3 linked regions of the Lonchura striata genome follow. The protein of the gene in region 1 interacts with the protein of each later gene in a biochemical or structural test. Links are inferred from orthologs where the notes say so. Each region holds a gene or a part of one and is shown in the gene's direction. Other genes may lie near its edges.

What was found.
Region 2: the proteins of RAF1 (region 1) and PEBP4 form a complex in vitro, tested with the Homo sapiens proteins (2 studies listed by BioGRID). The link is inferred for Lonchura striata from reciprocal best matches to the Homo sapiens genes RAF1 and PEBP4.
Region 3: the proteins of RAF1 (region 1) and PHB1 form a complex in vitro, tested with the Homo sapiens proteins (2 studies listed by BioGRID). The link is inferred for Lonchura striata from reciprocal best matches to the Homo sapiens genes RAF1 and PHB1.

The regions. Positions count from the first base shown.
Region 1 is NC_134614.1:4,706,437-4,714,421, forward strand, and holds the start of RAF1 (RAF proto-oncogene serine/threonine-protein kinase), read left to right. Parts: upstream 1-4,983; 5' UTR 4,984-5,307; intron 5,308-7,985. UniProt on the Homo sapiens protein: Serine/threonine-protein kinase that acts as a regulatory link between the membrane-associated Ras GTPases and the MAPK/ERK cascade, and this critical regulatory link functions as a switch determining cell fate decisions including proliferation, differentiation, apoptosis, survival and oncogenic transformation.
Region 2 is NC_134634.1:3,265,668-3,273,467, forward strand, and holds the start of PEBP4 (phosphatidylethanolamine-binding protein 4), read left to right. Parts: upstream 1-4,796; 5' UTR 4,797-4,902; intron 4,903-7,800. UniProt on the Homo sapiens protein: Promotes AKT phosphorylation, suggesting a possible role in the PI3K-AKT signaling pathway.
Region 3 is NC_134627.1:7,928,064-7,935,123, forward strand, and holds the start of PHB1 (prohibitin 1), read left to right. Parts: upstream 1-4,056; 5' UTR 4,057-4,096; intron 4,097-4,476; 5' UTR 4,477-4,496; coding exon 4,497-4,584; intron 4,585-4,873; coding exon 4,874-5,035; intron 5,036-5,804; coding exon 5,805-5,947; intron 5,948-6,656; coding exon 6,657-6,773; intron 6,774-7,060.

The DNA.
Region 1 (7,985 bases):
AATCAAGAGGGTTTGCTGTTAAGTTGACCAGAAAATAAGAGATGTAAAAAGAGACCAGGTAGGGTGGCCTGCTTTGATTCTGATAAAAAAAAAATACTTCTTTAAGCGCTGTAATAAGTAATCTAAAATGAATTTATTTGCTTATTTTAACAGTGACATCCTTAACTGCAGGCAGCATTCTGGTTTGCTGCAGGCATCCAGGTGGGTACCTGCATTTCTAAAAGCACTGGCCTCCCTCTGAGCGGTACAAACAACCAGAAATCAGACCCCAAACCAGAAAGAAGCCAGGTAAAAACACTGGAACAACACTCAAGAAGCACGTCCAAGTCAGTAACAGAGTGATATTAATAGGAACCTGAGCTCCTTGAAAATATTCTTTGTATGAAGAATTCTTTTTCATCAGTGAACTAATTCAGGTAATTTTCCTGCACACACACAAAAAGAATAGGTCAAAGCTAGTACAAAGTGCATATTATTAATGAATGTTCAGTTTATGGAAATGTCCAGACCCTGATACATAAGAAATGAGGGGTGCACTTCTTGCCCTATTTAAGGAAACACTAAAGAAAGTAGCTATTGGAGCATTTTGGCTGATGGCACAAGTGACAGGGACATTGTCAGCTGAGGGCTGGAGCTGCATGTGAAAAGTGTCAGTGAAAACATGGATTGAGCAAAGCAGCTCCGAGAGCTGCATCTGGCCAGCATTTGAGAGAGGAGCAATTTTCCTCTCCCAGTGGAACAAGAGAGAGGAGATCACAGATTCCTCCTGTTGAAGGAATTAATGTAAAATGGTTTAGCTCTGCTTATCCTGGCACACTCTCTACTCAACAAAAGAGACAAGACCTTCCATAAAGTAACTTAAATTAAAGGTGAGAGTCCACTTCTTCCTTGAGAGACCCCAAATGCAGGTACTGCAGATCAGACTGTGTGGATACGCTAATTCCTGCTAAAAACATAGCTAAAATTGCTCTCTCTGAAGTTACAGCACTGAATAAAAACCTTTGGGTTTGAACTTGAATTATCCATGCCTTCCACAACGATCTCAGTATAATTGGGCTTCAACCCTGCCTTCTGCCCAGTACAGATTCCCAGATTAATGTTTTTTTACCATTTCCAAAAGAAGAAATAATAAATCAACAGAGCAAGGAGCAAGGTGCCTGCAAGGACATGCCAGGGCAGGTAGGAAACAATTTCTTTCTAGAGATTGGTTGTAAATAAGCTGGGTTTTGGTGGCAGCTACACAGATTAGGGTTTGAATAAATTGCCCTTGCTCTGGAGAACAGAGCAGAATTTCTGTTTCCCCTGATGCACAGGGCTCACTGTCTGCTGTACAAATATTTACAGGGCAGGAGCTTTGTCGGAATCTGATATTGATGATCCCAAGATTGTAGAAAGTCTCTGTCTGTCAGCCCCCTGCCAAAGCAGAAGCCATAATTGGTCTGTGCTGGTTTCCAGGTTGTTTATTCTGTTGATCTCTCACATGTTCTGCTGCCCTGCCCAGCTCTGTCCTGCAGGGCAGCGTGTGGGGCTCTGCCCTCAGTGGGATGTGACAAACATTAAATACCAGAAACTCCCTGGGCTGCATTTACAATAACGTGCCAATATCTGTCACCTACGTTGGACAGTGTGTCCCCAGCCTGAACCAACAGAAAAATGCCAACACCACAGTGAGACATGGAGGGCATGAAGAAGGAGAAAAAGGACAAGGCACACCCAATTTCCTCCATCTTGTCCCCTTTGGACCCCTCATCTAGAATCCTAAAATTTTACTTTTGCACCCATGCCACACTTAATTATTACTGATATCAAACCCTCAGAGCTGGTAATTCATTCTGTAAGACTGAAAACTCTTTTCCATGGACAGAAATCACAGCCAGTGTCTCTGGGGGCTCTGTCCAGGGGGTTCCTGACCCCTGCCGGGGTCCCAGACCTGCCAGGGCAGCCAGAAGGAAGCTCTGGATTCCCACAGAGCTTAAGTCTTCTTGTGTGTCCTGCACTCAGGGACTCCCTCATCTGTGCTTCTTGCTGAGAGAAAGGCAAAAAGTGACTGAGTGAAGCTTGACAGAAGTGGCAACTCTGTGCTCCAGCACCAGCTCCACCACTGCCCCAGGCTGCCCTGTGCCCATCCTGGAGCATCTGCCTGCTTCCCCTGCCCAGCACAAACACTTCTGCACCATCCTTCACCCCAAAGCACTGCCCTGCACATGCAGAGAGAGCTCTCTGCAAACACAGAGCACACTTAGCATCACTTTTAGCAAGGAAATTCATAAAAATTATTAAATAGGTTATTATAAATCCCACCCTCACCATGCTTTAGGTCTCAGCTTTAGAGGGATTGTATTGTGACCATACATGGAATTACTCATGGAATACTCTGATGGGATTTTCTTCCCAAGCAGGGCAGTGTGGTGTCCCATATTTTCTGTTCTGCTGCTCAGATCTGCTTTGGGGCCAGTCCAGAGGAGGCCACCAGGCTGATCAGAGGGCTGGAGCAGCTGTGCTTGAGGAGAGCCTGCAGGGCCTGGGGCTGCTCAGCCTGGGCAGGAGAAGCTTTGGGTGTCCCAAACTGTGGGACACTGTAGTGTCCCAGGGCAGGATTATTTACCAGGGCCAGCAGGGACAGGACTAGGAGAATGGCTTCAGATGGAAAGGGAGCAGGTTAAGACTGGATATTAGGAAAAAAACTCTTGGCTGTGAGGGTGGACAGCCCTGGCACAGGTGCCCAGAGCTGTGGCTGCCCCTGGAACCCTGGCAGTGCCCGGGCCAAGCTGGGCAGGGTTGTGCTCACCTCCCTGGTGCTGGAGAGTCCAGAGCTGCTCCCACTTGCCCAGGGACCAGCCCAGTCTCAGCAATCACTGGATTTTCTGCCTTGACCCCCTCCTTCGAGCCCTGTGGACCAAGCTGAGAGATTTCTGAGGCAGTTGTAGCATTCCAGAGCTCTCTGCCAGCTGCTGGGTCAGCTCACAGTCCCTGGCAGAGTCTGTGCACCCAGAATGTCAGAAACCAGAAAAATTAAAGAGCAGATCAGAAATCCCCTTAACAAATCACAATTACTCTTCTACCCCTTAAAAAAAAATATAGACCAAGGCAGTGGGGCATGGGCAAATTGTCAATTTTTGGCTCATCATTGAGCCTGAATCTGAAGCACTTTCAAGGAGGTGTCTCAGGCTGCCAGCCAGCAGCAGGAAGAGAAAGTGAGGCTTGGGGTCACTTCAGGAAAAATCTGTATGAGAAGAACAATTCTATGGAAAATTTGCATCAACATGAAAGACGAGCAAGTTTTCCACTTCAGCTGTGCTTGATGTGATGAGACACTGCAGCATCACAGGGGGAACAGCAGCTCCTGGACTCTGCTGTGCAGCACTGAGGGTAAATAATGTCTCTTTTCTTGTGGTTCCTTTTAGGAGGCTGCTGACTTGGATAAAGAAAATGAAGGGTTCATCAGGAATGAGAAGGACCAGGAGAACCAGGAGGAGATGTGATCTGAAGAGCATCTGAAAAGCGAGAGGATGAGGACACTGGAGGGTGCCTGAGGTGTGTTTTGCTGGTCCCTTCCCAGTGTGTGCCCCAGCAGGGCAGTGCAGGCAGAGCACCTCCTGCCCCTCTGTGAGGTGGCACCAGGGACAGCTGGCAGGGCTGCTCCCAGCTAGGTGAGCAAATGTGAAATAATGCCATCTTTGCCAAGGAAACATGCTCAGGTTACTTAATTTGCCCAAACCAGCTTTAAATATGCCAGGAATAAAAGGTGTATTTATCAACTTCATGGGGTGGAGAAAACTGACGGGTCACAGTTGCTCTGGTGACATCTCTGTCTTCAACTTGTTTTGCTCTGCATTTGTTCCTTGTGAAAGGACAGAGAAGCTGCCTTGTAAAAAAGTGATTTTCAGGTGCTGTCAGTGTCATACACACTCTGGATCTCCAGGAAATCCATCCTGGCAGCCCAGCATTCCTGCCTCCCCATGTGAGCTCCGTGCTCTCCCTGCTCCATGGCAAGCGCAGTGCTCTCTGTTTGCCTTGATTTCTCCTCTTTCCTGCCAACAAAGCCTGAGCCCTGCCAGGACACACAGCACAGTGCTGCAGAGGGCAGGAGGGAGCATTCCCAGCTTTTGGAGCATCACTCCCCGGATGGGCAGGCTGAGCCCTCTGCTGCAGCCCAGCTCTGCTGCTGGCTCCTCCTCTCACCTCTGGGGCTGAAAGCCTCCCCACACTCCTATTTTCCTTCCTTGGAGCAATCACACTTTGTTGTAGACACGTTGCTGTGGTTACAGATCCTGGAATAGTCAGGATGAACAATTTCTCCATCAGGTAAGTTGGCAACCCTTCACTTGCTTCTCTGCTACAGGACCAGAACAGAGAGCTAAGAGGTGAGTTCAGGTAAGGTGATTCAGCCAGATTTATTCCAGTTGTGCAGCATGGAGAGGAAAGGTAAAAACCTGGCAGCTGGGTAGGAGATGTGGTCCTTATTGATCAGGAGCAGACCTGGGGCTGCAGTTTTGTGTGTGTAAAAGGAGCCACCGTGGCCTGGGATGTGTGCCCTGGGAGGGAGGTGGCTGTCAGCAGTGGCCTCTTCTGATTTACCCACTCTGCCAGCAGCCCTTTCCAAAGGCAGCCTAGCCTGCTCTGTGCACGCCTGCCCCGTGCCAGGGTTAGTGCAGGGGAAAGCTTGGCTTTTCCTGTAAACTCCTGCTCACACTGAAGCCATTTAACACGGATCTGCTGTGGGACAGACCTCCTTGCATCTTTGATGTCTATTTGCTCGCCCCTAACCCGTCTGATGCAGTCCCCCCGCTGCTTTCCCAAGGCAGGGGACAAATTCAGGAGTGGGGCTCCCAGGTTCTGCCCAGTGCCAGCTCTGTGCTGATGGTGGCTGCAATTCCTGGCTCGCAGGGACCCGGCTCCAGTTACATTTGCTGGCGTCAGGCGGGCTCTGCAGACCACTGCAGCTAAAAATAAAAGAATCCAAAGCACAAACCCCGAAGAGAGAGGGATGTTAAAATTCCAGGAAAGCTGTAGGAAAAGCTGGAGAGGCGCAGGAGCAGCCCTGGGGGGACAGCACCAACATTTTGGGGCACTTTAAATTAAGCCTCTGGGTTTGCCTGTTTTTAGCCCTGTCACCCGTGTGACCCTGCGGGGCTCAGCCCCTGGCTCCAGGTATTTGTGCTCACACAAAGGAGGCTTTGGAGCCTTTTGGGAAGCAGAACCATCCCTGGTGTCCCTGCTGGCCCTGAGAGCTCCCAGAAGTCCCAGCCTTGGGATTGCCCTGGATCCAAACCCTCGGATGGTGCTGGGTGTGGGAACACGGCTCTGGTGAGTCCTGAGTGGGCCGAAGGGGGGAACGGGGTTTTCACAGCTTTTGCAGCACCTTTACTTGTCTGGGAGGTTAACAGTGGATCTGTGAATCCAGGCCAAAGGGTCGGGATTAAATACTTACCAAACCTGCTTCCAAAGGCTAAATTAATTAGTCTGCAATCAGATGGAAAAGCCCCAGTGCTATTTCTAAGGGGAGGTTTATGAATTTTGTATGAAGGTTTTGGTGGAAATTTCCACAATTTCTGAGCACAGATCATAATCTAATAATCTTTGAAACTGTCATTTTCTATTTAAATATTAAATAGATACAGAGATTAATGTTTACCAGGTACAAAGTTGTATTTTGAAGTGTGCCTGCCCTTTCCTGGAGCAGCACAGCTCCATTTCAGGTCGGCAGACTGCTTGCCTTTGACCCGTCTGCAAAAACCCTTTCCAGATTTAATCGAAGCCTCTTTGCAGGAGGCTTTATCTCTGCCTCCTTTTTGGGTGCTGTGAAACTAAACCCACCAGGAGTGTGAAAGTGAGGTTAAAAAGCAGCTGTGTGTTTGCATAACAATGGATTATATCCATGCAGTGCAGGGCTCCATCTGCCCCTGGAGCTCCTTGCATGTGGGTCAGAAGTTTCCAAACGATGGCTGAGATTAATGTGTGCAAAGGCCTGGGTTTTCCAAGTGTGCCACAGTTTAATCCTGCCTCTCTCCAGGGTTTTGGGAGTGCTGGGAATCACAGGAGCACAGAATGAGCTAGATCAGGATGAACAGGAGCACAGAATGGAGAAGACCTCTAAGACCATCTGGTTCTGCTGCTCCACAGGGAGAGCTCAGCCTGGCTGTGCTGCTCAGGGGCTGCAAAGCCTGCACTGCTGCAAAGCCTGCACTGCTGCAAAACCTGCACTGCTGCAAAGCCTGCACTGCTGCAGAGGCCCCTGCAGGGCTGAGCAGTGGGGCCAGCACCTTGCCCTGGTGTGCATTTTGGAGATTTGCTTTGGTTCTTCCCCTTAAGAACAGCAGCTCCTTCTGAAGGGAGCTGGAGGTGACTCCTGCCAACTTTGTTTGGGTGTTTGGAGCAGCACAGGGGTTTTTAATGGGATCATGGAATATCTGAGCCAGGAGGGACCCACAGATGATCCAGCCCAACCCCTGGCCCTGCACAGGCACCCCAGATCCCCCTGTGCATCCCTTGGGCAGGGTTATCCCATCACTGGGTGTGCAGTGTGTGATGTGTGTCACGTCCTCAGGCAGCTCCAAACCTGTTCCTGTGTGCCTCGTGCAGCTCCACTCCTTATTCAGGACTTCTCCTCCTGGTCCAAGCTCAGTTTCCCAGAAATCAGCTTAGTTTTTGTTAAAAGAGTTGCCTGATACAGCTCAGGTGTCCCCACATTCATTTTCTAGCAGCAGGTGCTGGGAAGAGCTTCAGTGTGTGCCCAGGGTGCAGTCAGAGCTACCAACATCCTCTGGTTTTGGATTGGAAAACCCCACTATTCCCTGAAAATCTGCAATGCCTACTGACCTCAAGATTAGCCCTGCACTGGTGTATTTTAGGCTCACCTCACTCTCCAGCAGAATTAGAATTAGCCCTCCAAAGACCTGGGCCAGGCTCATTTTACTTCTTCCTGTAGTCATTAATTAAGGTAGCAGCTAATTTTGTATGGGATCTTTTATTTTTGGCTGTATTTTATAGAATGATTGCTGGTGAAAGTTGGATGTGTTGCATCTTGAATATTGCTGAGGCTGGAAAACAGCCAGAACAACCAAGGAGCAGAACTTCCAGGCAGTTTTCCATATCTGCAGTAAAGCTCAAGTCTGCAGCGAAGTTATCTGAGGAATTCAGGCTGTGAACAACAAATGGAAAGGGAATGACACAGATATGAGGTGGGGGGGAAAGTGAGGTATTTTATGATTTTGGACAGCTTCCTGCAGTTATATCACTGCATTGTTATTATTCCTCAGCAAAATCAGAGACGAGAGATTGCACTTGAGCAGCTCCACTCATTCCTGGCAACCTGGGGAAATCCAAGTGAGCTGAGAGAGGTGGATCAGAGGTGATTCCCCACCCGTGCCCATTCATTCCAGAGTGAAATAGCCAAGGACCAGCACGTTGTGGATATTTCCCAGTGTTTTAATGACTTTGTGCTTCCTCTTTGGCACAGTTTGTCAAGTATTCCATGGCTTTTTTAAAGAACAAGGAGACTGAGCTTACTGTGTTCTGAATGTCAGAGCAGATTTCAAGGGGAAAAAAAATCCCTAAAACCCATTGCTCTACAAACAGCAAGACTAAAGCAGTTTCACCACAGATTTATATGGTCTCATCCCTAAAGCACCTCTGCTATAAGTATAACTATATATATTTATATATAAGGATAAATATATATCAATCATTATATAATTATATATATATAATTATAATTATTTTTTAAAATTTATAGAAAAGGATATCTTAACTGTGGTTCTCATTTTAGAGGGTAAGCCCCTCACGTACTGGGGCTAATTCAGCCTCAGGTACATGGGCACTGAGCAGCCTGCTGCATAAACAGGAATATTTGGTGCCTCAATTCTTTCTCTCCTTCAGTTGAGGTATGAACATGGTTCCTTTTTCTGTCTTCAGTTGCTGACTTCCAAGAACCTTTAGAAAATTAATTCTTCTTGAGGCCTTGACTCATGTGTCAAATATGTATG
Region 2 (7,800 bases), on another chromosome or scaffold:
TAAATCTTCCAAAGGAGAGGAACTTATGGCTTCTTATCAGAAAAAAATAATTTTTTCAGGCCTTGCTCAGACTCGAAGCTGCCATGAGGATTAAAGGAAACAGTTGACATACAACAGACAGAGTTTCTTGTTTTAAATAAAATGTATGCATAACCATGAAGGATGTATGAATATGCAACAAGTGTATTGGTTTAAGGTTATTCCTTTGTTCACAAATCATGATTTTTGTGACTTGGTGTCTGAGAGCATCCGGACATCCGTAATTCTTTGCTTTTTATTGTCTTGTAATTGTCCTCACTCTAAACTTTATTACTCTAATTGTATTATTATTTTTATAACCATTTTATTATTATTAAACTTTTAAAATTTTAAAAACCAAGCGATTATTGTTTTTCACAAGGCCTTGCTCAGACTCAAAGCTGCCAGGAGATTAAAGGAAACAGTTGACATACAACAGACAGAGTTTCTTGTTTTAAATAAAATATCTGCATAACCATGAAGGATGTATGAATATGCAACAAGTGTATTGGTTTAAGGTTATTCCTTTGTTCACAAGTCATGATTTTTGTGACTTAGTGTCCAAGAGCATCCAGACATCCGTAATTCTTTGCTTTTTATTGTCTTGTAATTGTCCTCACTCTAAACTTTATTACTCTAATTGTATTATTATTTTTATAACAATTTTATTATTATTATTAAACTTTTAAAATTTTAAAAACCAAGCGATTGGCGTTTTTCACAGCAGGGAAGCATCTTTTTTTGTTTCTCATCCCACGCTGGAATGAGGGGGCAATTCCTGCACTTCCCTCGGCTCTGAGCCTCATGTGAGGATGGTGCCAGAGGCTTCCAGGCTGGAAAAACGAGATTCCTGCAGTCCTGAGTCAGGACTGGGAACCTGGGAACAGCCCGGGACAGGAACCCGGGAAGGCTGAGCTAGAACAGAGCTGGAAGAGCTACAGAATAAAAAAATAATAAAGCAGGGATTTATTAAAATTATCTCGAGGCATCCACCATGGGCAGCACAAGAGCCCAGCCAGGGCTGCACCCAAATCGACCAAAACGGTCCCAAAATGCACAACCGGTCACGGGGTCTGTCACTTTTATTAAGTTTTGGTCCAAATGGTCCCAAAATGGAAGACAGGTCATGGAGTCTGTCACTTTTATTAAGTTTTGGTCCAAATGGTCCCAAAATGGAAGGCAGGTCATGGGGTCTGTCACTTTTATTCAGTTTTGGTCTAAATGGTCCCAAAATGGAAGACAGGTCATGGGGTTTGTCACTTTTATTCAGTTTTGGTCCAAATGGTCCCAAAGTGGAAGACAGGTCATGGGGTCTGTCACTTTTATGAAGTTTTGGTCCAAATGGTCCCAAAGTGGAAGACAGGTCATGGGGTCTGTCACTTTTATTCAGTTTTGGTCCAAATGGTCCCAAAATGGAAGGCAGGTCATGGGGTCTGTCACTTTTATTAAGTTTTGGTCTAAATGGTCCAAAATGGAAGGCAGGTCATGGGGTCTGTCACTTTTCTGAAGTTCTGGTCCATCAGCACGCTGGAGTTAATTGTCCAATTCCAGCTTTAGCTGGTGAATTCCCATCCTCCTTGTTTTGTCTCTTCAGCCCACCTTGTTTAAACTTGTCCTGATTGTCCTCGGTCCCAGCTGGAGCAGGAGTTGTTTTGTCTCCCTGCTCTGTGCAGAGCTCAGCATCCCCCGGGGTGAAGCCCAGACCCACGCACCAAAGCAGCTCAGAACGTGAGAAATAGAAAAGCTCAAACCTGAGGCATCATTTCCCCTCCCTGGGAGCTGGTTTTGATTTATTAAAAAAATATGGATATTGATCTAATACCAATATCCAGCTGTGACAGACAAAAACTCGCTAACAGTTTAGAGTTAGAAAGTGATTTATTTAAAAAATCTGGATATTGATCTAATACCAATATCCAACTGTGACAGACAAAAACTCTCTGACAGTTTAAAGTTACAAAGTGTGTGTTTATTGTGTGTGGGATCCCAAATCCACACCACAGCTTCCAGGTGATTACAGAGCCCTTTTATCCATCCAAGTGTTGAATACCCAAAATACAAATACAAATTCATCATTTTGGTACATCCCATTCCCTGCTTCATATGCTAATAATTTCAAAATCTATTCAGCCTGCGTGGTTTGTTCCTTGAAATGGGTCGGTGTCCCTTCCATGGGGACGGGTCCCAAAATGAGGAAGTCAATGAAGTTTTTCCCTCATACTGACCTTTCTACCTTTTCGATGTAAATATGACAAATGAACTCTTGGTAGAACTCCCATTCCTTGTCTTCAATTGGTTTCAGAACAGAGGAGGCCACAATTGTCTGATGTTCCTAAAAGCTATTTATCAATTTATATTCTTCATTACAAACCCAGCTAACTCATCATTGTGCTGATGAGCAATCAGTTACTAGTTAACTCCTAACTCTTAACTTCATCAAGGCCTACTCATTTATTTTAATTAACTCTAGTAAGGCTTATCTCTAACTAAAATCTTACCTCCTCTAAAATCTCGAAATCCCTTAAAATTTACCTTTCCGTTTGTCACCCAAGCTGCCTTTTCCAGCAGCAGGATCCTTCTCCAGAGGGGAAATTCCTGCGTGCAGCCTCAGGGATTTTCCTGCTTCTCCCCAGCCCGGAGAGCTCCAGGCACGGGCAGGAGGATGGAGAGGAGGATCCCGGTGGAAATCGCTCATCCCTGGGCTCGGATTTCCAGGAATGTGGCGGGGACAGCAAAGGCAGCAGCTCTGGGGTCACCTTGGCCTGGGTTTGGAAGCCACAGGGGTTTAATATTTAATTTAAAAATTAAATATTCCAGCGGTTTCCCACCCCCTCGGGAGCATCACACAGCAGAGGGTGTCCAGCCCTGGCAGCATTTTCCCATGGATTTTTTTTGTCCTGGTAAAAGCTGAACAAGTTTCCTGCTGCACTTTAAAATCTGTTTCCTGAGTGGAGGAAATAAAATCTTTGTTTAAAAAAACCCAAACATTTTTTTTTTTCTTTGTTTTATTTTTTTTTTAGGGAGGAAGTCACGGCTCATCTTACACAGGAAGATGAAAAATTTGTAAAATTTTACATTTTTAAAAATGTAAAATTGTTGCTCCCATGAGTTTTGCTTCCTGAGCATCCCTGGGAGATCCCCCTTCACCTTTTCCATTGCCAAACCCTTTTGGGATGATCTGTGAGAGGTTTCCAGATGGAAGGGGCTGATTTTGGCTCTCCAAAGGGCTTTTCTCTGTCTTTGGGCTTGGGGGAAAAAAGAATATCCCTGCTCTGAATTAATCCCATTTTGGGTTCTTGGTGTTGTTTGGGGAAGCTCTGCAAAGGGGTCACAAAAAACCCCAAAAAACCAAAAAAAAACCACAAAAAAACCCCCAAAACAAACCAAAACACTGCAAAGGGTCTGGAGAGGAAAAAATTTGAAAATTTTAAAACCCCTGATGTGATGCTCCCTGAAATTTCTGTGTCTGCTTTGTGTGGGATGCGTTTCAGCAGGGAGAGGGACTGGGGACAAGGGATGGAGGGACAGGACACAGGGAATGACTTCCAATGGGAAAAGGGGAGGTTTGGGTGGGATATTGGGAAGGAAAGTCCTTTTTTAAGGACTTTCAGGCACCTTTCTCCATGTCCAACCTGGATTTTTCCCAGATGGAACACACTGAAAGTGTGCGTGGGAATTTTAAAACCCCTGATGTGACGCTCCCTGAAATTTCAGAAATTTCTGTGTCTGCTTTATGTGGGATGCGTTTCAGCAGGGAAAGGGACTGGGGACGAGGGATGGAGGGACAGGACACAGGGAATGGCTTCCAATGGGAAAAGGGGAGGTTTGGGTGGGATACTGGGGAGGAATTCCTGGTGAGGAGGGGCTGGGATGGAATTCCCAGAGGAGCTGTGGCTCTCCCTGGACCCCCAGAAATGTCCAAGGTGAGTTTGGAGCCCCCTGGGCCAGCGGGAGGTGTCCCTGCCCTGGCAGGGGTGACTCTGGATGGAATTCCAGACCCTTCCATCCCAAACCATTCCAGGTTTTGCCAGGAGTTCCTCGTCCACATCTCCACCCGAGTGCCCAACTCCCTGCCTGCCTCTCGTTCAACTTTCAGCCGCATCCCCGTTTCTCCAGGGAAACTCCTGCCTTTCTCACCGTTCCATGAGCACATTTCTGGGCATTTTCTGCTGGTCTCCAGCTTTGCCCGGTGCTGGGGATCCCGAATTTTCAACCTCCCCGTCCGTGTGACACCGTGAAGGTGCAAACCTTGACTCATCCCGGCATTCCTGGGAAAAGCCTGACTCACGGGAGCCCATTTGCCGGCTCAGGGCTCTAATTACGGGGCTGTGCCCATCTCCAGCGTGGGAACCGGAGCCATTAAGCCCCTAAAAAGCTCCCGATCATTCCCAATCCATTAATGTTTCTAATTAGTTAATCCCCGACGCCTCTTTCCCTCGCCGGGCTCGCTCGTGTTCTCCGAGCGTGCAGCCACAGCTCCATTATGTAATGATCCCCTCGCTGCTGCCAGACTCACACCGGGCTCTTCTTCACTGTCTTTTTCTTTCATTTCCTCGCGTGTGCCTCTTCCCCGGAGCTCATTAGGGGATGGACGAGACGGGCAGATGGAAGTCGGGCTCGCAGCGCCCCTGAATCGGCGGAGCAGCCGGCGGTGCGGCGCGGGGGCTGGGCAGGAGCGCGCCCGGCGCCGCTCGGGCCGGTTGGGGCGGTTGCCGGGGGGTTAAAACGCCGTTGGCAGGTCCGGAGCAGCCTCTGCTCCTTCCCCGGGGCTTTGACTTCTCATTCCCGGTCCCTCTGTCCCTTCCTTCCGAGGAAACCATCTCCACGGCAACCTCAAACCTCCGGGCTCTGCCTCGGAGCTGCTCAGCCGCCCCCAGGACCTTGGTAAGTGGCTCTCCGGTGGCCCGTGGCTACCGGCTCTGCCAGGAGGCGAGGGATGGCGAGGGATGGGTGGGCGACCCAGCCCCGCGTCCCCCCGTCCCCCTGGAGGCTTCCTGTGGCTTAAAAAGGGGTGGCCAGAGCTGTCCTGGCGTGGGAAAAGCGCTGGAGGCGGCGGCTGGGTCGGGGTTGCCCTGCCCGGGGTCGGGGACACGTCCCGGTGGCCTGGCTGGTCCGTGTGTCCTCGGGGGTGGTGCTGGACGCAGCACAACCGCTCCCGATCCCGGTTTTCCGTCGCATTTGGGAGAGCAGCAGGTGGAGATGGGGATTCTGTCCCCTCCCGGAGCTGGGTTTGGAGCGTGGTGTCACCGCGTGGGGACATTCCCGGTGCCACGCGGAGGGGGAGGAAGCACAAAAAAAGGGTCCAGCGAGCTGGGCTGGGGGTGCCTGGCGAAGGGGAGCGGCAGGAAACGGCTAAATTCTGGAATAAACGGGATTCAAGTTGGGTTTTCAGAGGAAACGGCTAAATTCTGGAATAAACGGGATTGAAGTTGGGTTTTCAGAGGAAACGGCTCAGTCGTGCAATAAACGGGATTGAAGTTGGTTTTTCAGAGGAAATGGCTCAGTCCCGCAATAAACGGGATTAAAGTTGGATTTTCAGAGGAAACGGCTCAGTCCTGCAATAAACAGGATTGAAGTTGGATTTTCAGAGGAAACGGTTCAGTTGTGCAATAAACAGGATTCAAGTTGGGTTTTCAGAGGAAACGGTTCAGTTGTGCAATAAACGGGATTGAAGTTGGTTTTTCAGAGGAAACGGCTCAGTTGTGCAATAAACGGGATTGAAGTTGGGTTTTCAGAGGAAACGGTTCAGTTGTGCAATAAACGGGATTGAAGTTGGGTTTTCAGAGGAAACGGCTCAGTTGTGCAATAAACGGGATTGAAGTTGGGTTTTCAGAGGAAACGGCTCAGTCCCACAATAAACAGGATTAAAGTTGGGTTTTCAGAGGAAACGGCTCAGTCCTGCAATAAACGGGATTGAAGTTGGGTTTTCAGAGGAAACGGCTCAGTCCCACAATAAACGGGATTGAAGTTGGGTTTTCAGAGGAAACGGCTCAGTCCCGCAATAAACGGGATTGAAGTTGGGTTTTCAGAGGAAACGGTTCAGTTGTGCAATAAACGGGATTGAAGTTGAATTTTCAGAGGAAACGGCTCAGTTGTGCAATAAACGGGATTGAAGTTGGATTTTCAGAGGAAACGGCTCAGTTGTGCAATAAACGGGATTGAAGTTGGGTTTTCAGAGGAAACGGCTCAGTTGTGCAATAAACGGGATTAAAGTTGAATTTTCAGAGGAAACGGCTCAGTCCCACAATAAACGGGATTCAAGTTGTGGAGCTGTGTGGCAAGCACGTTTCTCTCCCCCTCAGGATTTTTCATAGAGGTGCACGGAGAGAAATGAAAACGATTTCTATTTCTGCTCCTTGTTTTTCCTATGTGGAATGTATTTAGAGAATTTTTTACCTGGGGTGAGTGCTTGGTTGGATTCTGGTGAGGATTGTTTGAGCTGGTGGCCAATCCAACCCACCAGGGGCTGGACTCTCAGAGAGGATCATGAGTTGTGTTAGAGTCAGAAAAAGTAGTTTGTAGTTTTAGTATCCTCCTTTTATAGAGTATATTAATGTATTTTAGCATAGTTATAATAAAGAAATCATTCAGCCTTCTGAATTGAGTCACACATCGCCATTTCTTCCCATTGGGTTCCCCTGCATTTACAACAGAGCTGCAGGAGGAAGTGATGGGCAATTTTTTTTGGATTAGGGTTTTTTGTGACTCCGAGGTGGGGTAAATGAGCGGTTTGCACCTCTTTGCAAACCTCGAGATAAGAAATACCGGTGTAAAAATACCACAGGACAGGCTTTGTTGAGAGAGAAATATAACTAGAAACAAGTTTGAAAGGATGGCCTTACAAATAAAATTAAATGCTTTAGAGAAGTAGCACTATGAAAGCTGCATTACAGTAAAACCCATGAGGAGTAATTATAATTAACTTTGAAACATTGACAGTGTGGCGTGGCAAAAGCTGATAGGCCAAAAAAACGCTTATAATGCATTATAATTAAAAAATAGTTGGCTTCTGATTGTAATGGCGTGAATTATAACAATTGAATATATATATATATACATTATATATGAATATAATATATGTATATAAAAATACACATAAAATTTAAATTATATATGTATTGCCTCACCCTTCACATGAGAGTAAATATAGAATAAAAATTTGTAAAGTGCCTCTCGGTTACCCCATCTCTGGCTCAAAAAGGAGCCTGATCCGCCGGGCAAGGCTCGGGGTGCGGTGGCTGGAGCTGGTGCCGTGTCCCCGTGGGGCTGTCCCTGTGTCCCCATGGGGCTGTCCCCATGTCCCCGTGGGGCTGTCCCCGTGTCCCCGTGGGGCTGACCCTCGCTGTCCCTGTGGCTGACCCTCGCTGTCCCCGTGGGGCTGTCCCCGTGTCCCCATGGGGCTGTCCCTGTGTCCCCGTGGCTGACCCTCGCTGTCCTCGTGGGGCTGACCCTCGCTGTCCCCGTGGGGCTGTCCCCATGTCCCCGTGGGGCTGACCATCGCTGTCCCTGTGTCCCCGTGGGACTGTCCCCGTGTCCCCGTGGGGCTGACCCTCGCTGTCCCTGTGGCTGACCCTCGCTGTCCCCATGGGGCTGTCCCCATGTCCCCGTGGGGCTGTCCCCGTGTCCCCGTGCCTGACCCTCGCTGTCCCTGTGGCTGACCCTCGCTGTCCCCGTGGGGCTGTCCCCATGTCCCCGTGGGGCTGACCCTCGCTGTCCCCGTGTCCCCGTGCCTGACCCTCACTGTCCCTGTGGGGCTGACCCTCGCTGTCCCCGTGGCTGACC
Region 3 (7,060 bases), on another chromosome or scaffold:
CCCGCCGGGGTCACCCGGCCGCGGACGAGCACCTGGGACTAATTGCAGGGAATAAATGAGCAATTAAGGGCGCTAGGGCAGGGCTGGAACATCCCAGACCTCCGGCTGACCCCCGGGCGGTATCCCTGGAAACGGCCGCACCGGGATCGGGATGCTCAGCCCGGCCGGCACCGGCGGCACCGGGGCCCTCCGAGCCCCCCCGGCGGCGGAAGCGGCTCCGGCCCCACCGGCAGCTGGGGCGGCCGCACTGAGGCGCCTTTGTCCGGCACAGGGCTGGGTTTACCCGGGGAGAGAAGGGTTTGTCTTGGAGCAGGCAGGATTTACCCGGGGAGGGCAGGATTTGTCCCGGGGAGGGCAGGATTTATCCCGAGGAGGGCAGGATTTGTCCCGGGGAGGGCAGGATTTGTCCTGGGAGGACAGGATTTGTCTTGGAGGGGGCAGGATTTATCCCGAGGAGGGCAGGATTTATCCCGGGAGGACAGGATTTGTCCCGAGGAAGGCAGGATTTGTCCCCGGGAGGGCAGGAATGGAAGCACCGTTAAGGGCCGGTAGCACCGTGGAGAACCGGGCAGCCCCGGGCGGGCAGAACGGGCCGGTCCCGCTGCCCCCGCGGCGCTGCGGGCACCGCCCAGCCCGGCACGGGGGGCTCCGCTCGGGGCTGCACCCGGGTTATCCCCGCTGGCACCGGGGACGGTCCCGCTGCTCCCCAAAACCTCCGCGATCCTCCCACCCACCCCAAACCTGGCCCGCCCGGGGGTCCCGGTGCCCGCCCGGGGTCCCGGTGCCCGCCCGGGGTCCCGGTGCCCGCCCGGGGTCCCGGTGCCCGCCCGGGGGGATTTTTGGCTCGCCCGGGGCTGGCTGAGCGGAAGGCAGGCTGGCTTTTAAAGCAGATTAATTAAGCTGCACTGCGGGGCCAGAGCTCAGAATGCAAACAGCCGTAATTCGATTTCTCTGACTTGCAAATCGCGGCAGGGAACGCGGCCGAAATCACATTAAGGCCGTTTCCACCCCGAGCCGTGTCCTCGCAGGGCTTTAATGCAGTTTCACTAATTGAATTTCAACGCTTATTGAGCTTAATTCGGGTTTGTGCCGGGCGCGGGGCTGGGCTGGGACCCCCCGGGCTGGGCTGGGACCCCCGGGAAAGGCTGGGCTGAGACCCCCGGGAAGGGCTGGGCTGGGACCCCCAGGAAAGGCTGAGACCCCTGGGACCCCCAGGAAGGGCTGAGACCCCCGGGAAAAGCTGGGACCCCCTGGAAATGCTGGGCTGGGACCCCCCGGGCTGGGCTGGGCTGGGTTGGGACCCCCAGGAAGGGCTGAGACCCCCGGGAAAGGCTGGGCTGGGACCCCGGGGAAGGTTTGGGACCCCCAGGAATAGCTGAGACCCCTGAGACCCCCGGGAAGGGCTGAGACCCCCGGGAAAGGCTGGGCTGGGACCCCGGGGAAGGTTTGGGACCCCCAGGAACGGCTGAGACCCCTGGGCTGGGCTGGGCTGGGACCCCCGGGAAGAGCCGGGACCCCCCCTAAGGACGGGCTGGGTGGGAGTGGGATCAGCGCCAGCCCCACACCGGATTTGGGGTGGAAAAACCCCAAATCCCGCCGCCCCCCCCGGGCGTGGCCGCGGCCCGGAGTCCCCGCGGGTCCCCCCGGCCCCGGGGCCGCCCCGGCGCGTTCGTGCCGCGGGGATTTGGGAGCGGCGGAGGCGAAGAGGAGGCGCTTTGTTCCCAGCCCGGGGGACAATGAGCCCTTCTTGGCCCGACGGAAATCCCCAAAACCGGAGCGGCCCGGGAAGGGCCGGGAGGGGCCCCGCGCGGCTCTGGGCCGCGGTTCTGTGCCACCCCCCAAAAACGGGGTTCTGGAGCTGTTTTGGGGTGCGGTTCTGTGCCACCACCCAAAAACGGGGTTCTGGAGCTGGTTTGGGGGTGCGGTTCTGCTGCCACCCCCCAAAAACGGGGTTCTGGAGCTGGTTTGGGGTGCGGTTCTGTGCCACCACCCAAAAACGGGGTTCTGGAGCTGTTTTGGGGTGCGGTTCTGTGCCACCCCCCAAAAATGGGGTTCTGGAGCTGTTTTGGGGTGCGGTTCTGTGCCACCACCCAAAAACGGGGTTCTGAAGCTGTTTTGGGGTGCGGTTCTGTGCCACCACCCAAAAATGGGGTTCTGGAGCTGTTTTGGGGTGCGGTTCTGTGCCACCACCCAAAAAAGGGGTTCTGGAGCTGTTTTGGGGTTCGGTTCTGCTGCCACCACCCAAAAATGGGGTTCTGGCTGAGTTCTGGGGTTCGGTTCTGCTGCCACCACCCAAAATTGGGGTTATGGCTCAGTTCTGGGGTGCGGTTCTGTGCCACCACCCAAAAATGTGGTTCCGGAGCTGTTTTGAAGGTGCAATCCCACAGCCAGCCCCTAAAAAAGCAATCCCAGCCCAATTTTGGGGTGCAACCCCAAGAACGCACTCTCAGCTCAATTTTGGGGGCCTCTATGTCCCCCTGGCCCTTCCTGGGAATCTCCAGCCCCTCGCAGCTGGGAACGGGAATGGGGAGAGCTCATCCCACTTGGGAACGGGAATGTGGGAATGGGAATGTGGGAATGGGAATGTGGGAATGAGAAATGGGAATGGGAATGTGGGAATGGGAATGGGGAAATGGGAATGGGAATGTGGGAACGGGAATGGGAATGGGAACGGGAACGGCAACGGGAATGGGAATGGAAATGTGGGAATGGGGAGAGCTCATCCCGCATGGGAATGGGAACGGGAATGGGAATGGGAACAGGAGTAGGAAAAGGAATGGGAATGGGAATAGAAACGGGAATGAGCAACACGACCCCGGCAGGAACGAGGACGCTGCAAATCCCGAGCCGTAAATCCCAGATTTAATGGGATTTCCCCGCTGGATCCAGCGGGGTCACCTGGCAGCGGAACCCGCCGCGGGCGCGGGGGCGGCGTGGGGATTTTTTCCTCTTTTTTCCCTCTTTTTTCCCCGTTTTTCGGGATTCCCGGAGCCAAAGGGAGAGCGCTGCTTCCCTCTAGCGGCCCCGGGACAGGAGGGGACCGGAGCGGGAACGGCCCCGGGACAAGGGGGGACAGCGAATCCCGGGGTCCGCGGCTCCAGGAGCTGCTGGGAAGGGCCCGAGGGAGGCCACGGGAATGATTTGGGGTCTGGAAAACCTCGGGCGAGCGGAGAGAGGGAAGGGTAGACCGGAGGAGGGAAGGCTGAGAGCAGGAATATCCCACATTTCTGTGGAAATATGTGAAATATCCATAGAAATCTGTCACTGCAGAGGGGATCCCGTCACTGCATGAAAACACCTCAGATATCCATGGAAATATGTCAAATATCCACGGGAATATCGCAAATATCCACGGAAATCTGCGACTGGAGAGATTCCCACCAACACATGGAAATATCTCAGATATCTGTGGAAATCTCTCATTTTGGGAAAGGGATCCCACCAATGCCTGGAAATATCTCAGATATCCGTGGAAATCTCTCATTTTGGGAAATATCTCAGATATCCGTGGAAATCTTTCATTTTGGGAAAGGGATCCCACCAATGCCTGGAAATATCTCAGATATGCATGGAAATCTCTCATTTTGGAAATGGGATCCCACCAACGGATGGAAATATCTCAGATGGCCAGAAGTGAACCCCAAGTCCCCCTCGGCAGGAGGCGGAGCTGGCCCCGAGGGTGGCCGGGACCGGTGACCAGGAAGGGCCGGGGGACATTCCGACCCCGCGGGGACCCTGCCTGGGCAGGTGGCCCTGCCCGGGTGACCTCGGGGGTCCCTGCCCAGCTGCTCTGGCGTTCCGGGGCGGGCAGCGCTGTCCCCGCCCGTGTCCCCCGCCGGTCCCCACGAGCCCCCCAAGCGCCTTCCCCCGCCAGGACTACACCTCCCAAGAGGCAGCGCGCCGCTCCGGCCAATAGCGCGCGGCCTTGCTCAGCCAGCGGGGCACAGCGGAGCCGATAGGCCGGGCGGCAGCGGGCGCGGCAGAGAGAACTACATATCCCAGAGAGCCCCGGGGGGCGCGGGCCAATGAGGAGGGCGCGTCTTGGCGCGGCGCGCAGGCGCGCTGGGCAGGGGGGCGGCGGCGGATTCATGTGGAGGTCAGCGGCGCGGCGGGAGCGGCGGGCGGGGGGCGGCGGTGGGTCCGGGACCGGGAACCGGGAATCGGGAACCGGGCACACAGCCAGGCCTTGCCCCCTGGCGGGCCCCTGCTGCGGGCGAGCGGCCTAGGAGGGAGCGGGCAGGGGGAGGCCTGGGGGGTGCGGGGGGCCCCGGGGGCGGCGGGACCGAACCCGGGGAGGGAGATGGGAGGGAGACCCCCAGGGATGGGGGGACCCCCGGGATGGGGAGAGACCCGGGAATGGGGGGGACCCCCGGGGCTGGGGAGACTCACAGGGCCGAGGAGACCCCTGGGGCTGGGGGGGGACTCTTGGGGCTGGGGAGACCCCCGGGCAGGGCTGAGCGCTGCGGGGCGTCGCAGGCGGGCTCTGGAGCGGTGAGATGGCTGCCAAGGTGTTCGAGAGCATCGGGAAGCTCGGGCTGGGCTTGGCCGTGGCGGGGGGAGTCGTGAACTCGGCGCTTTACAACGGTGAGTGGGGCTGGGTGAGTGGGATGGACTCAGTGAGTGGGACTCGGTGAGTGGGACTCGGTGAGTGCCCCGGGTCTGTGTTTCTGCCCCAATCCTGTTTTCCCCGTGCTTTATCACCCGATAAATCCACACCGAGTCCATGCAGTGCCGCGGGAGCTCCTTCCTCCCAAAGCCTCGGAGCTGCCCCGGGGGCCCCACAGCTCCGCCCGCAGCTCCTCCGGCCTGGGTTGATTAACTCCGCCGTTAATTTCCCGCCGTGCCGCTAATTGCGCGCTCTCTCCCCCCGCAGTGGACGCGGGGCACAGGGCCGTGATCTTCGACCGCTTCCGCGGCGTGCAGGACGCCGTGGTGGGCGAGGGCACGCACTTCCTCATCCCCTGGGTGCAGAAACCCATCATCTTCGACTGCCGCTCGCGGCCCCGCAACGTCCCCGTCATCACCGGCAGCAAAGGTGGGTGCAGGCGCCCTGGGGTGCCCAGGGGTGTCCAGGGCCACACAGGGGCACCCAGGGGTGTCCAGATGCACCCCGGAGCTCCCAGGGGCACACAGGGGTGTCCAGAGGTCTCCAGGGGCATCCAGGGGCACCCAGAGGTGTCCAGGGGCACCCAGGGGTGTCCAGGGGTGTTGTTGTTGAAGCAGGACGGGAATGAAGAGACTCTGACTAGATCAGAAGGCTGTGAGAGTGAAACTCTGATTTATTTAAAATACACTGTTTGTGAGGACTAAATCTATTGGTTGGGAGGGGTCCCTGGAGCTCACCTGGCCCAGGTGACACTGGTGGGGTTTGGGAGGGATCCCTGGAGTTCACCTGGGGTTTGGGAGGGGTCCCTGGAGCTCACTTGGCCCAGGTGACACTGGTGGGGTTTGGGAGGGGTCCCTGGAGCTCACCTGGGGTTTGGGAGGGGTCCCTGGAGCTCACTGGGGTTGGGAGGGGTCCCTGGAGCTCACCTGGCCCAAGTGACACTGGTGGGGTTTGGGAGGGATCCCTGGAGCTCACCTGGGGTTTGGGAGGGATCCCTGGAGCTCACCTGGGGTTTGGGAGGGGTCCCTGGAGCTCACCTGGCCCAGGTGAGGTGGCGGGGCTGGAATTCTCCCCGCAGCAGCGCCGGGCAGGCCGGGGGGGATCGGGGATCCTCGGCAGCTCGTGCTGCTGCCGGAGCGGGGCCGGGGGCGCCGGGGGAGCCCGGCCCCGCTCCCGAGGCGCCGCTGCCGCTCCGCAGACCTGCAGAACGTCAACATCACCCTGCGCATCCTGTTCCGGCCCGTCACGGCGCAGCTGCCGCGCATCTTCACCAGCATCGGCGAGGACTACGACGAGCGCGTGCTGCCCTCCATCACCACCGAGATCCTCAAGTCCGTGGTGGTGAGCGCCCGCGCTGCCCCGGCGCTCCTGGCAGCGTGCTCTCTCCTGGTGCCTCCCATTCCATCCTGTTCCCAGCAGTGTCCGTCCCATTCCATCCCATTCCCAGCAGTTTCCCTCCTGTGCCCAGCAGTTTCCATCCCATTCCATCCCATTCCTAGCAGTTTCCCTCATGTTCCCAGCAGTTTCCATCCCATTCCCTCCTTTTCCCTCCTGTTTCCTCTGTTCCATCCCATTCCCAGTAATTTCCCTCTGGTTTCATCCCATTCCCGGGGGTGCCCATCCCATTCCCAGGAGTGCCCATCCCATTCCCGGGGGTGCCCATCCCATTCCCAGCGGTTTCCATCCCATTCCCGGGGGTTCCCATCCCATTCCCGGGGGTGCCCATCCCATTCCCAGCAGTTTCCATCCTATTCCCAGGGGTTCCCATCCCATTCCCGGGGGTGCCCATCCCATTCCCAGCGGTTTCCATCCCATTCCCGGGGGTGCCCATCCCATTCCCGGAGGTGCCCATCCCATTCCCAGGAGTGCCCATCCCATTCCCAGGGGTGCCCATCCCGTTCCCAGCGGTTTCCATCCCATTCCCAGTGGTTTCCATCTTGTTCCTGGGGGTGCCCATCCTATTCCCAGGGGTTCCCATCCCATTCCCGGGGGTGCCCATCCCATTCCCAGCGGTTTCCATCCCATTCCCTCCGTCCCTCCGTGCCCCCAGGCGCGCTTCGACGCGGGCGAGCTGATCACGCAGCGGGAGCTGGTGTCCAGGCAGGTCAGCGAGGACCTGACGGAGCGCGCGGCCACCTTCGGGCTCATCCTGGACGACGTGTCCCTGGTGAGCCCCGCCGGACGCTCGGACACTCGGACGCTCGGACACGCGGCTCTGCCGCTGCCCCGTCACTCGGGCAGCCCCCGGTGCCTCAGCCCTGCCGTGCTGGGATCTGTCACCCCACAGGAGCTGCTTTGGGATGGGGCAGCAGCTCCACAGGCACCCCTGGAAGCACCAGGAGGGGAAATTCCCACTGGTTCCGCCGCTAAGATATCCAAGGAGGGAGCTCTGCCCTCCCAGCTCCCCTAGAATTAAAACTGATCCCACTGGGAGCGCAGCCTGTGCGGGAGGTG